2 linked regions of the Coturnix japonica genome follow. The main gene of each other region encodes a partner of the protein of the gene in region 2 in a complex. Links are inferred from orthologs where the notes say so. Each region holds a gene or a part of one and is shown on either strand. Other genes may lie near its edges.

Region 1 (4,654 bases), on a different chromosome or scaffold from region 2:
AAAGATTGAGGGTTCTGGCTGTAAAACAGCGATCCAGCTCTCTTTTCAATTCTGAAGAAGCTGTTTCAGGTGGACCCATCTGGATCCATGAAATTCCCTGTGTCAAATAGGGGCTTTTACAACATGGCAACTATTCTAAGGCTCTTCCCTGAGTGCTCCCTGTCTGCACCCCAATCTTCCCACATCCATTCCCAACATCATGGCCCTTATCCAGCAAACAGGCTGATGTACTCACAGAAATGCCTGTGTCCTTGTTCAGGATGACCTGCAGCAGGTGTGGGGGAAGAATGGGTGGAGATTTAAAGCGCTCCTCTGCCTTACAGACATAAGGCTCCTGGTGGTACGGTCCTGGAGGTGAGCTTGACAGCTCTGCCAAAGAGATGGGAAATAGCCTGTAAGAACATCTGCTCTTTACACCTGTGTTTTCCAGTACTCCAAGCGAGTTCTCATATCCAGGAACAAGAGAATAAAAGAAATGCATGGCCTCTAAGTACCTGAGCTGCAGCAGCTGATGCAATACCGCAGGATCAGTCACCACCCAGTAAGTGATTTAAGATACCCAAAGTCTGCCTGCCTTCACACTAACTACACAGGTCTTGGAGGCTGAGTGCTTACCACATATGATACCCAACTGCTAACAAGCTCATACCAGACATGTCCGAACACTTCTGGGAGTCCACCATCAAAGCATCAAACACTTCAAAGTCAGTTTTCTTCACCTGGATGATGTTGTTGACAGTCCCCAGCTGGCTGGTTACAACAGGCTGGGAAAAGATACAGAAGGCAAAATAAAAACACTTGCAGGCTATTAGGATTCTCAAAACTAAACAACCAGCACAAATGAGTTACTTTGCTTTGAAAACAGGCTGGTACCGGTGGGGAATGAGGTAATCAATGCAGTTATTGTTCAGTTAAGGGTCTGGTGCAGTATTTAGGGCTGGGGAGGGACTCTAGTCAATCGAGCTCACTAAGTCCACGTGAGTTGGGCACAGACAGCAAGCGCAGCACAGGGGGATGTGGGCTGTCAGCAATGCTGTAGTGCCTTATAAGACAGTTTGGCATCTCTTTATATGAAGAGCCAACAGATCTCAACACCTATTTGTTACAAAGCCTCCTGTCCTCGGGCATCACCCACAGGGATCACCATGTCTCTCACCAGCCTCATCTGTTTCTATTGTTAATAAACAAAAACCATCTGCTGGTACAGAAATCAACCAGTTTCTCCTCTTCACATACCTCAAGGAAGAAATACAGTGCACTGAAGAAAATACTACCTCTGAAGGATCGTGTGTCCACTGCCCGTCCACAAAGAACTTGTACTGGTGCTCTCCTTCTGGCAGGTCCAGGATTGCCACAAAGTTGTTGTGACTGGAATTGAAGACAAACAGTCACCCCTGAAACACTTGGAGAAGTGAATCCATCTACACACTGTGACACACATCATAACACAGAACCATCTTAATATGCAAAAACTTTAACAATGCAACCAGAGACCCTCCCCCAGTGGCAGTCAGCCCTTCAATGAGGTCTAAGAGAAGCACAGCCAGGCTCCAGCCCTTCCTATCACACAGCTGAACTGCCTTCACCTGTGCTGCTAGGGCTGACCGGGTCCTTTCCCCAGGTGCTCCATCAGTGCTTCAGGCCATGATCCAACAGTTCCCATACAAACTCAGACGGGGCACTGATGCCACTGTGTCTCTTCACTTCTCAAGTAAGGAGCACAGTGAGCTCTGATACTTCAGCATATGCAATTCCTAAATACAAGCACATTTCCCTCACTGAATTCCCAGTCCATAGGGAACACCACCGACCCTGCAGAAGTCTATTACCTCCTCGTCAAAGGGATTTTACTCCAGTTGTTGAAGGACCCAGATAAATACACTTCCTTCCCTCCTCCGGTCCAGCGAAAGACAGTCGGTCGAGCTTGAGTGGGGGTTTTGTCACTCACTTCCAGGTCCTGTTGCCAAGCTAGGAACTCTTCTTTATCCAATGGCGCCTACGAGCACAACATCCTGATCAATACAAGTCCCCTCTTTGCAGCCTTAGCTTGCATTTCACTCCATTTAATTCTGTGCTTAGGTGCAATTTGGCAAGACATGCTAAGATGAGACAGTGGCCCTTCTACGTGCTGCTCAGTGGCAAGAATCCTGCAAAGACGCTAAAGCCTTCCAAATCTATAGAAAGAATGGATGGCAACGTAAAAAACAAATGACTTGAGCTCATGGGAGCTTTCAAAACACACCGATATTAATAAGGAGAAAAAGAATAGTTAAGGGGAAAGACACTTCAGGAGCAGCAAGATTGGGGTAGGCATAAAACTTGTGGTTAGATCCTGAAAGGCTACAAGCTGCCTACAGGACAGGTATCCTCATGGGACACATAACACAGAGCAAAGGTACCAGCAATCCCCCTCATAATGAGCAAAAAAAGCAGCCAAGGGATCTTTTAGTATGGAAAATACCAGATGAAACAACACGGGTGGCTGCAAGAGGATGGGAAGGAAGATGGGGAGCGGTGGGTAAATGGGTAAAGCTCTAAGGGAGCCCCAGCATTGCCAAGCGGTCCCGTCTGAATGCAGCCATACCTTCATCTCCTCCGAATGGAACAGGTCCGCATCTTCAGGGCTGTCCATTAAGATCTTGGGTCTGTCCCCATCCTTGGAGCCGCCGGCTCCTCCCGCCCCATCACCCCGCGCTGCTTTGTGCCCATGGCGCTCCAGCCCGGCTCTCTCACTGCTTGTGTTCCCCATATTTAAGGCCCTAAAAGAGCAGAAGCCAGTTTAACCTTTAGTACCTGCAGCCACATAACCACGAAGCAAAGAAAACAACACCATCCCGGGCTGTGAGCTGAACACCAATGAACGCCACTTACCCAACGTCCGAGCAGCTGAGAATCGCATCACACTCAGAGCAGACAACGCGAGCGGCCCGTGCAAACGACCGGCAGCGGCCACGAATAACACGGAGCGATACGGAGCGATACGGAGCCCGGCAGCCCCCCGCCCCTTCCGCTTCCGTGTGCCCCGCATGGCCGCCCCGGGCAGCAGCCGGCCCCGGGTTCCGGATTTACTCGGGGATGAGAAACAAGGAAGCGCCGCCCCACGTCGGAAATACGTTCAGACTGTGCTGGGAGCTGCTGTGCGGGCGGGGGAGGTGATGGCTGCGATGGGAGGTGGAAACTGGAGCGCTGTTAAGTGACCGGCCAGAAGGGCTCTGTCTCTATCGGATCCTTGTGCACGCCGGGACGTGGAGGCAGAATTGTGCTGGGATGGGCAGATTCCCGGTGCTGGCTCCTGCTCCCGGAGGAGCAGCTGCTGCTCGTTTGTCTTCCATGGGCAGAGCGCCCTGAGCACACATCACACACATCACACACATCACAGGGGTTGTTAGAGCTTCCCCAGCTCCCACAGTGCCCTTATGCTGCTGTAGAATGCAGCTGTTGTTTTGACACTTAACACAGGTTAGCTCTCTCATGTTCTTTGCCTGCAGACCCGATGGTTTTGTGTCCCCTGCCACCAATGCGCACACATTGGAGGTACACAGCACCTTGTCTTGCCCGTTGGGGAGCCGCTGTGACAGCCTGCAGAGCCAGATGAGCTGCAAGCAGCAGCATCTCTACTTTAGGGCTCACCTTGTCTGCTTTACAACGGTTTTGTTATATACAAAAACCACAAACTGATAACACTGCAGAATAAGGGCTGCTGATAACCCACGGGGCTGTTGGGTAAGGAAAGTCCAAGCTTCTCTCAATGTAAAGCTTTGGTATAAAGACAGAATGGTTGCTCACCACGCAGCGTCACTCCAAAGCCTTTGGGAGCTCCTGGCCTTGGACAGGATGGAGGCAGTGGACACGGATGCGTGGTCATCACATGCACTGCGGTATCATTTCCTCCTATCAGCCTGAAGCAGAGCCCGGCTCGCTCACAGCTGTTCCTAAAGGAGATGTGGGACATGCCACGATGGCCTGGCAGAGCTCACCCACCCACTGAATCTTCTGCAGGTCAGAATCCCATTTGACCTGTTTGGATGCTCTCCTGGAGTTGGTTGAAACCCAAAGTGGCTGAACTCTGGTTGAGATGCCTATAGATGTGGCTGCCATGGTTCAGCACCACCCCACTGCCTGCTCTGGTGTGCATCCCTTAATGTCATTGGAGCTGCCCCTTCTCTTGCCTGAAATGTGTTGAAAAATGAAGTGTAGTGGCCAAATATCTTGGACTGTGCGTTTTAAAATCCTGATGTATCCGTTGGTATCTGACATGACACCAGCTTATCTGGCCAAAGAGAAGTAGCTGCAAGCTAAGTGGAAGCTGACTCAGCCCTCTAGATAGATATGATAGAAACAGAAGAGCCATCCTCAGTCATGAGCCAGCAGATCAAATTCAGACATGACACAGATCACATTATAAAGGATATACGAGCAAGTGCTCCTTGCAGCTTCTGTGCTACAGAGACAAGTGAGTCAGCTGGGAGCAGCAGCAGGATTTATCCTGGAGCTCAAGACAGGGAAAACATAAACTGCAGAAACCTCCCCATTCAATTCCTATAACCTTGTGTTCTACCTTGGCCTCCTGGGCTTGTTCCTCCAGCTTTAGATTGCTTGAGCAATCCCTCTCCCTACCACCCTCCTCCATTCAGGTCACTTCTGAATATATCCC
Region 2 (3,870 bases):
GCCACCACAAGGCCTTCCCTCAGCCTTCTCTGCTCTGAGCTGAACAAACTACAGGGCCTCAGACACTCTGCATACACCTTTCCCCCCAGACCCTTCACCATCTTTGCAGCCTTCCTTTGGATGCTTTCTAATATCCCTATGTCCTTCTTATATTTCAAAGCTAGCCAGGCCCACTACTCCCACCAGTTCACAATGAAGTCAATGGTAATTAAGCAGGTAAATGCCAGTGCAAGCCTCAGCTATAGGTGCCACCTATCAATGGTAATCTTGGCATGCATGCTGTTGCTCTAACATACAATTAAATCTCCTACTCTTCAGGACTCGTGAAGTTTAAAAGGCATTTATAGTTCAGATCCTATTTGAATGGTTAAATTCAGGCCATCAATTGCAAAAGTATTAACAATCCATTATGTCCTGTAAGTACTTGTGATGTTTATGCATATGCTTAGCACACCAGCTACATGTAATCACAGAACCATAGAAGTTGGAAGGGAGCTCTGGAGATGATCCAGCCCAACCCTCTGCTAAAGCATGTTATAGTAATGGCTACTATAAATTCCACAAAATACATATGGGACTCCACTTTCACAAGATAAATATTTAAAAAATTACTCAGTTTGTGAAACATTCAAAGCCCTGTTGCCAGTTACAAACATGTCACGATATCTGAAGGCACAAATGCCTACTTAAGTGCCCAATTGTTCCCTTTCATGGGTAGTACAGCCATTGACTACAGAAGAAATGCCTCATTTAAGGACATTTGCTGACATTTTAAACTGTGACTAACATTTTAGCTAGTAATTCTTGTGTTCCACTTCCTTTTTTATCGAATAGACAGCAAGTGCAATGACAACACTTTTATTCTAAACAGCTACCAAAGAGAGATGTGCTTGAAATAAAGTACTGAAAAATAGCTGGCCAATATAGAGTTCTTAGGAATACTGTGTGAGAGCTGGTTATGTTAAGCACTACTAAGAGATTTTTGAGGCTATTTTATAATGTATGAAGATAGAATTATCTGTATATAAGTTGCAGGAAGCTACCTATTGCCTATTTTCACTTGAATTAGTGAAGCCACTGAGAAATGAAGTCGCCAATCCCACATTCATCATCACCCACCACCAGCTGGCAGCACTTGCCTCACCATTGGCACAGAAGAGTTCAGGCGGGCTCCTTAAATCCCTTAGGACCAAACTCAGCTGGATTAACTGGCAACTCCTACAAACCACGCTGTGGGCTGACCTGATGTCCTTGATGGTTGCACGCTTGAGAGGGTCAACCTGCAGCATGTGCATGAGCAGAGTGGCAACGGAGCGATTGAGGTACTCGGGGATGTAAAACACACCTCCCCGGATCTTCTTGAAGAGGGTGGGCACGTGCTCATCATCAAAGGGCAAAGTGCCACAGAGGAGGGCATAGAGGATGACACCGCAGCTCCAGATGTCCACCTCTGGGCCAGCATACAGCCTGTGTGAAGCAGAGGAGGAGAAATGGGTCACAACCCTTCCTCTATTCCTCTCTGCATCCTTGGGCTGCCTAAGCCAAAAACCTACTCGAGGGTGATGGGGAATGACGCAGAGCTGCTTTTAGTTGATCACGCTCCTTCGTGATGCATGAAACAGGAATATGAGCAACTCCACCAGACCCAACAAAAAGCCCAAATCTACATTTCCAGGAGCTCTGCCAGGCTGCTTGCTTCCTTGCCCCCGAGGCTGGGGGACTCAGCCAGCAGTTTCTATTCACTCAGAAGCAGATTAAACAGCAGCAGATACTATATCTCTTGAGTGTTTATTTTCAGTTGAAGTTTGTGTGCTGGTATGCAAGAGCTCCAGCTTCCGACAAGCTGTTAATGTGCTTCCTGGCATCACCAAGTCAGGATACCCCAAATATATGGGTTTTGCTGCTGCTGCTTGCCTGCTTGATTTGTTTGTTCATTGGTTTTTGCTGAAACTGCTGATTTCTCAGAGATTCTGGGAGTCAGTGACTACTCTTGGACTGTAAAATCCAATACAGAGGTCTGTTCATGAAACCTAATCGTCCTGCACTTGCTCCTCTTGAAAAGTTCTGCTGTAGACACACCTGGTATAAAAAAAAGAACCAGCCATGCACACTGTCATTCTATGAATGCTACCCAGGTAACAAAATACCATTTCTGAGCTCATGCTTGAGACTTCTCCCATGGAGAACAGTGACAGCAGCAAAGTCAGGGCATTCCGCTAATGCAATCGGCTCCAAGTCCCCACAGTCTATGTCTGATTCCAACAGACAGGATGTCTATTTTTTGGCTGATAGCCACATTGTTTGAACCGTGCTTGGACTTTTAAACCCAAATGAGGTTCACTTTCATGATGCTGAAACACAAGGTCTCACATAGTGCACCGTCTCTGGGAGGAGCTCAGCTATATCCACCTCCAGCAGCACATTCACCCCTGGTGGAAATGGCAGGTTGTTCCTCTCTGTCTCCTATATGAACTGAAAAAAATATATATGTGGTTTTGGCCTTTATTACAAAAAAAAATATGGGAATAATATTTTTTTGAATCACTGTCGAGTTTCTGGCTTTGTGCCCCTCTTGAAAATGAGGATTTACTTGCTTTCATATGTAGAACCATAGTCACAACAGGCTTTTTGGATGCTGGTCTAGTTCCTAGGATACTCTGCCAACACACGCGCCTGTGTAAACAGGCATAAAACAGTCATCATCACAACATTAAACAAAAGGTTGGGTTTGAAAGCTATAGGCAGAGACATACCAGATTATGAAAAGTAGCTCTCATGCAAAGGATGGTTCAAAAGGATGGAGTGGATGCTAAGGTTATGGGCAGTCCAAAGGAACACGCAGAGGACTGTAAATTCAAAGATCTGTATTTGTAAACTGCATTATGCTTTTACAGAGGAGAATTAGGGAATTCAACGTAATTCAGGTTCTCAACAGTAAAACATGGGAAGTGGCATGACCGTATCAATGGGGCAAGACTGAATTCAGCCCTAGAGCCTGTGTTCAGAATGCCCTGTTCCAAACAGCTGCTGCAGCCAGTCAGGACACAGCTGAGAGATGCCACTGCTCTGCAGTTCTGTCAGTTCAATTCATCAGTTCAAGACAAAGCTACCACCACTGAACCCGCTGGCATGAACATAAGCCTGAGAGTTAAGGGACCCAAAGACAAGGATTTTCAATACAAGGGTCTAGCAGTGTAGGGAAGTGATTAAGCAGAATATTGATTGCTCGCTTAATGAGTGGTTTTCTCATTAACACTGTGTTTTACATAGGTGGGCAGGAGAGAAAGGGGTGGCCTGGAAAAGCCTATCTTTCTGAAACCTCAGTGACTGCATCCAAAGAGTAATTTTCATTCCCTTTAATTAGCAATGTACACAGTAAACATCTGCTGTTAATAATTCCTCCAAAGTAAACATCTTTAGCAAAACATGTTTTGCTAGTACAGACATTGAGAAATACAACGAGCAAGAAGACCTTCAGATATTTCCAGCAGACTCACCCAGGCACAAAACACCGGCTGGAACCACTCAGCTGCTTTATTACAAGCTGGTTCCAATCCCAAGAGCAAATTTAAAGACCACATACTCACATGATTGGAAGTGGCATGTCCTACCTTCCAGAGATGACTTCAGGGGCTGCATAATTTGGGGAACCGCAGCTGGTGCGTAGAAATTCACCATCAGACATCATGTTGGACAATCCTAAAAACAAGGTGTTGGCTACGTATTGACATCCAGACAGGGAGAAGAGATACAGCAAGCAGAGGGGGAAATCTGATGTAATCTAAGTAGACACCTTTGAACCACTTTGCAATTACAGCTCTCATTTTCTTTCCAAACTAGTATTACTGACTCCGAGCTAACTTTGCTTCT

The links.
Region 1: the proteins of PRKAA2 (region 2) and PRKAB1 are in contact, whole or in part, in a crystal structure (PDB 8BIK), measured with the Homo sapiens proteins. The link is inferred for Coturnix japonica from reciprocal best matches to the Homo sapiens genes PRKAA2 and PRKAB1. Residues at the interface, in NP_006243.2 of Homo sapiens: Gly9, Val11, Lys12, Ile13, Thr21, Lys29, Lys31, Asn48, Arg49, Arg53, Asp56, Val58, Ile61, Lys62, Ile65, Gln66, Lys69, Val82, Ile83, Ser84, Thr85, Pro86, Thr87, Asp88, Phe89, Phe90, Met134, Met164, Ser165, Asp166; in NP_006244.2 of Homo sapiens: Pro79, Thr80, Val81, Arg83, Thr106, Ser108, Asn111, Val113, Ile115, Gln154, Val155, Asp159, Phe160, Glu161, Val162, Phe163, Ala165, Leu166, Asp169, Ser170, Lys172, Cys173, Pro186, Tyr187, His188, Gln189, Glu190, Pro191, Tyr192, Ala202.

The regions. Positions count from the first base shown.
Region 1 is NC_029530.1:8,559,451-8,564,104, forward strand, and holds the start of PRKAB1 (5'-AMP-activated protein kinase subunit beta-1), read right to left. Parts: upstream 3,021-4,654; 5' UTR 2,872-3,020; intron 2,760-2,871; 5' UTR 2,750-2,759; coding exon 2,585-2,749; intron 1,997-2,584; coding exon 1,830-1,996; intron 1,369-1,829; coding exon 1,275-1,368; intron 765-1,274; coding exon 650-764; intron 370-649; coding exon 236-369; intron 1-235. UniProt on the Homo sapiens protein: Non-catalytic subunit of AMP-activated protein kinase (AMPK), an energy sensor protein kinase that plays a key role in regulating cellular energy metabolism.
Region 2 is NC_029523.1:23,047,441-23,051,310, reverse strand, and holds part of PRKAA2 (5'-AMP-activated protein kinase catalytic subunit alpha-2), read right to left. Parts: intron 3,700-3,870; coding exon 3,612-3,699; intron 2,080-3,611; coding exon of another isoform or gene 2,031-2,079; exon of another isoform or gene 1,484-2,030; intron 1,468-1,483; coding exon 1,243-1,467; intron 1-1,242. UniProt on the Homo sapiens protein: Catalytic subunit of AMP-activated protein kinase (AMPK), an energy sensor protein kinase that plays a key role in regulating cellular energy metabolism.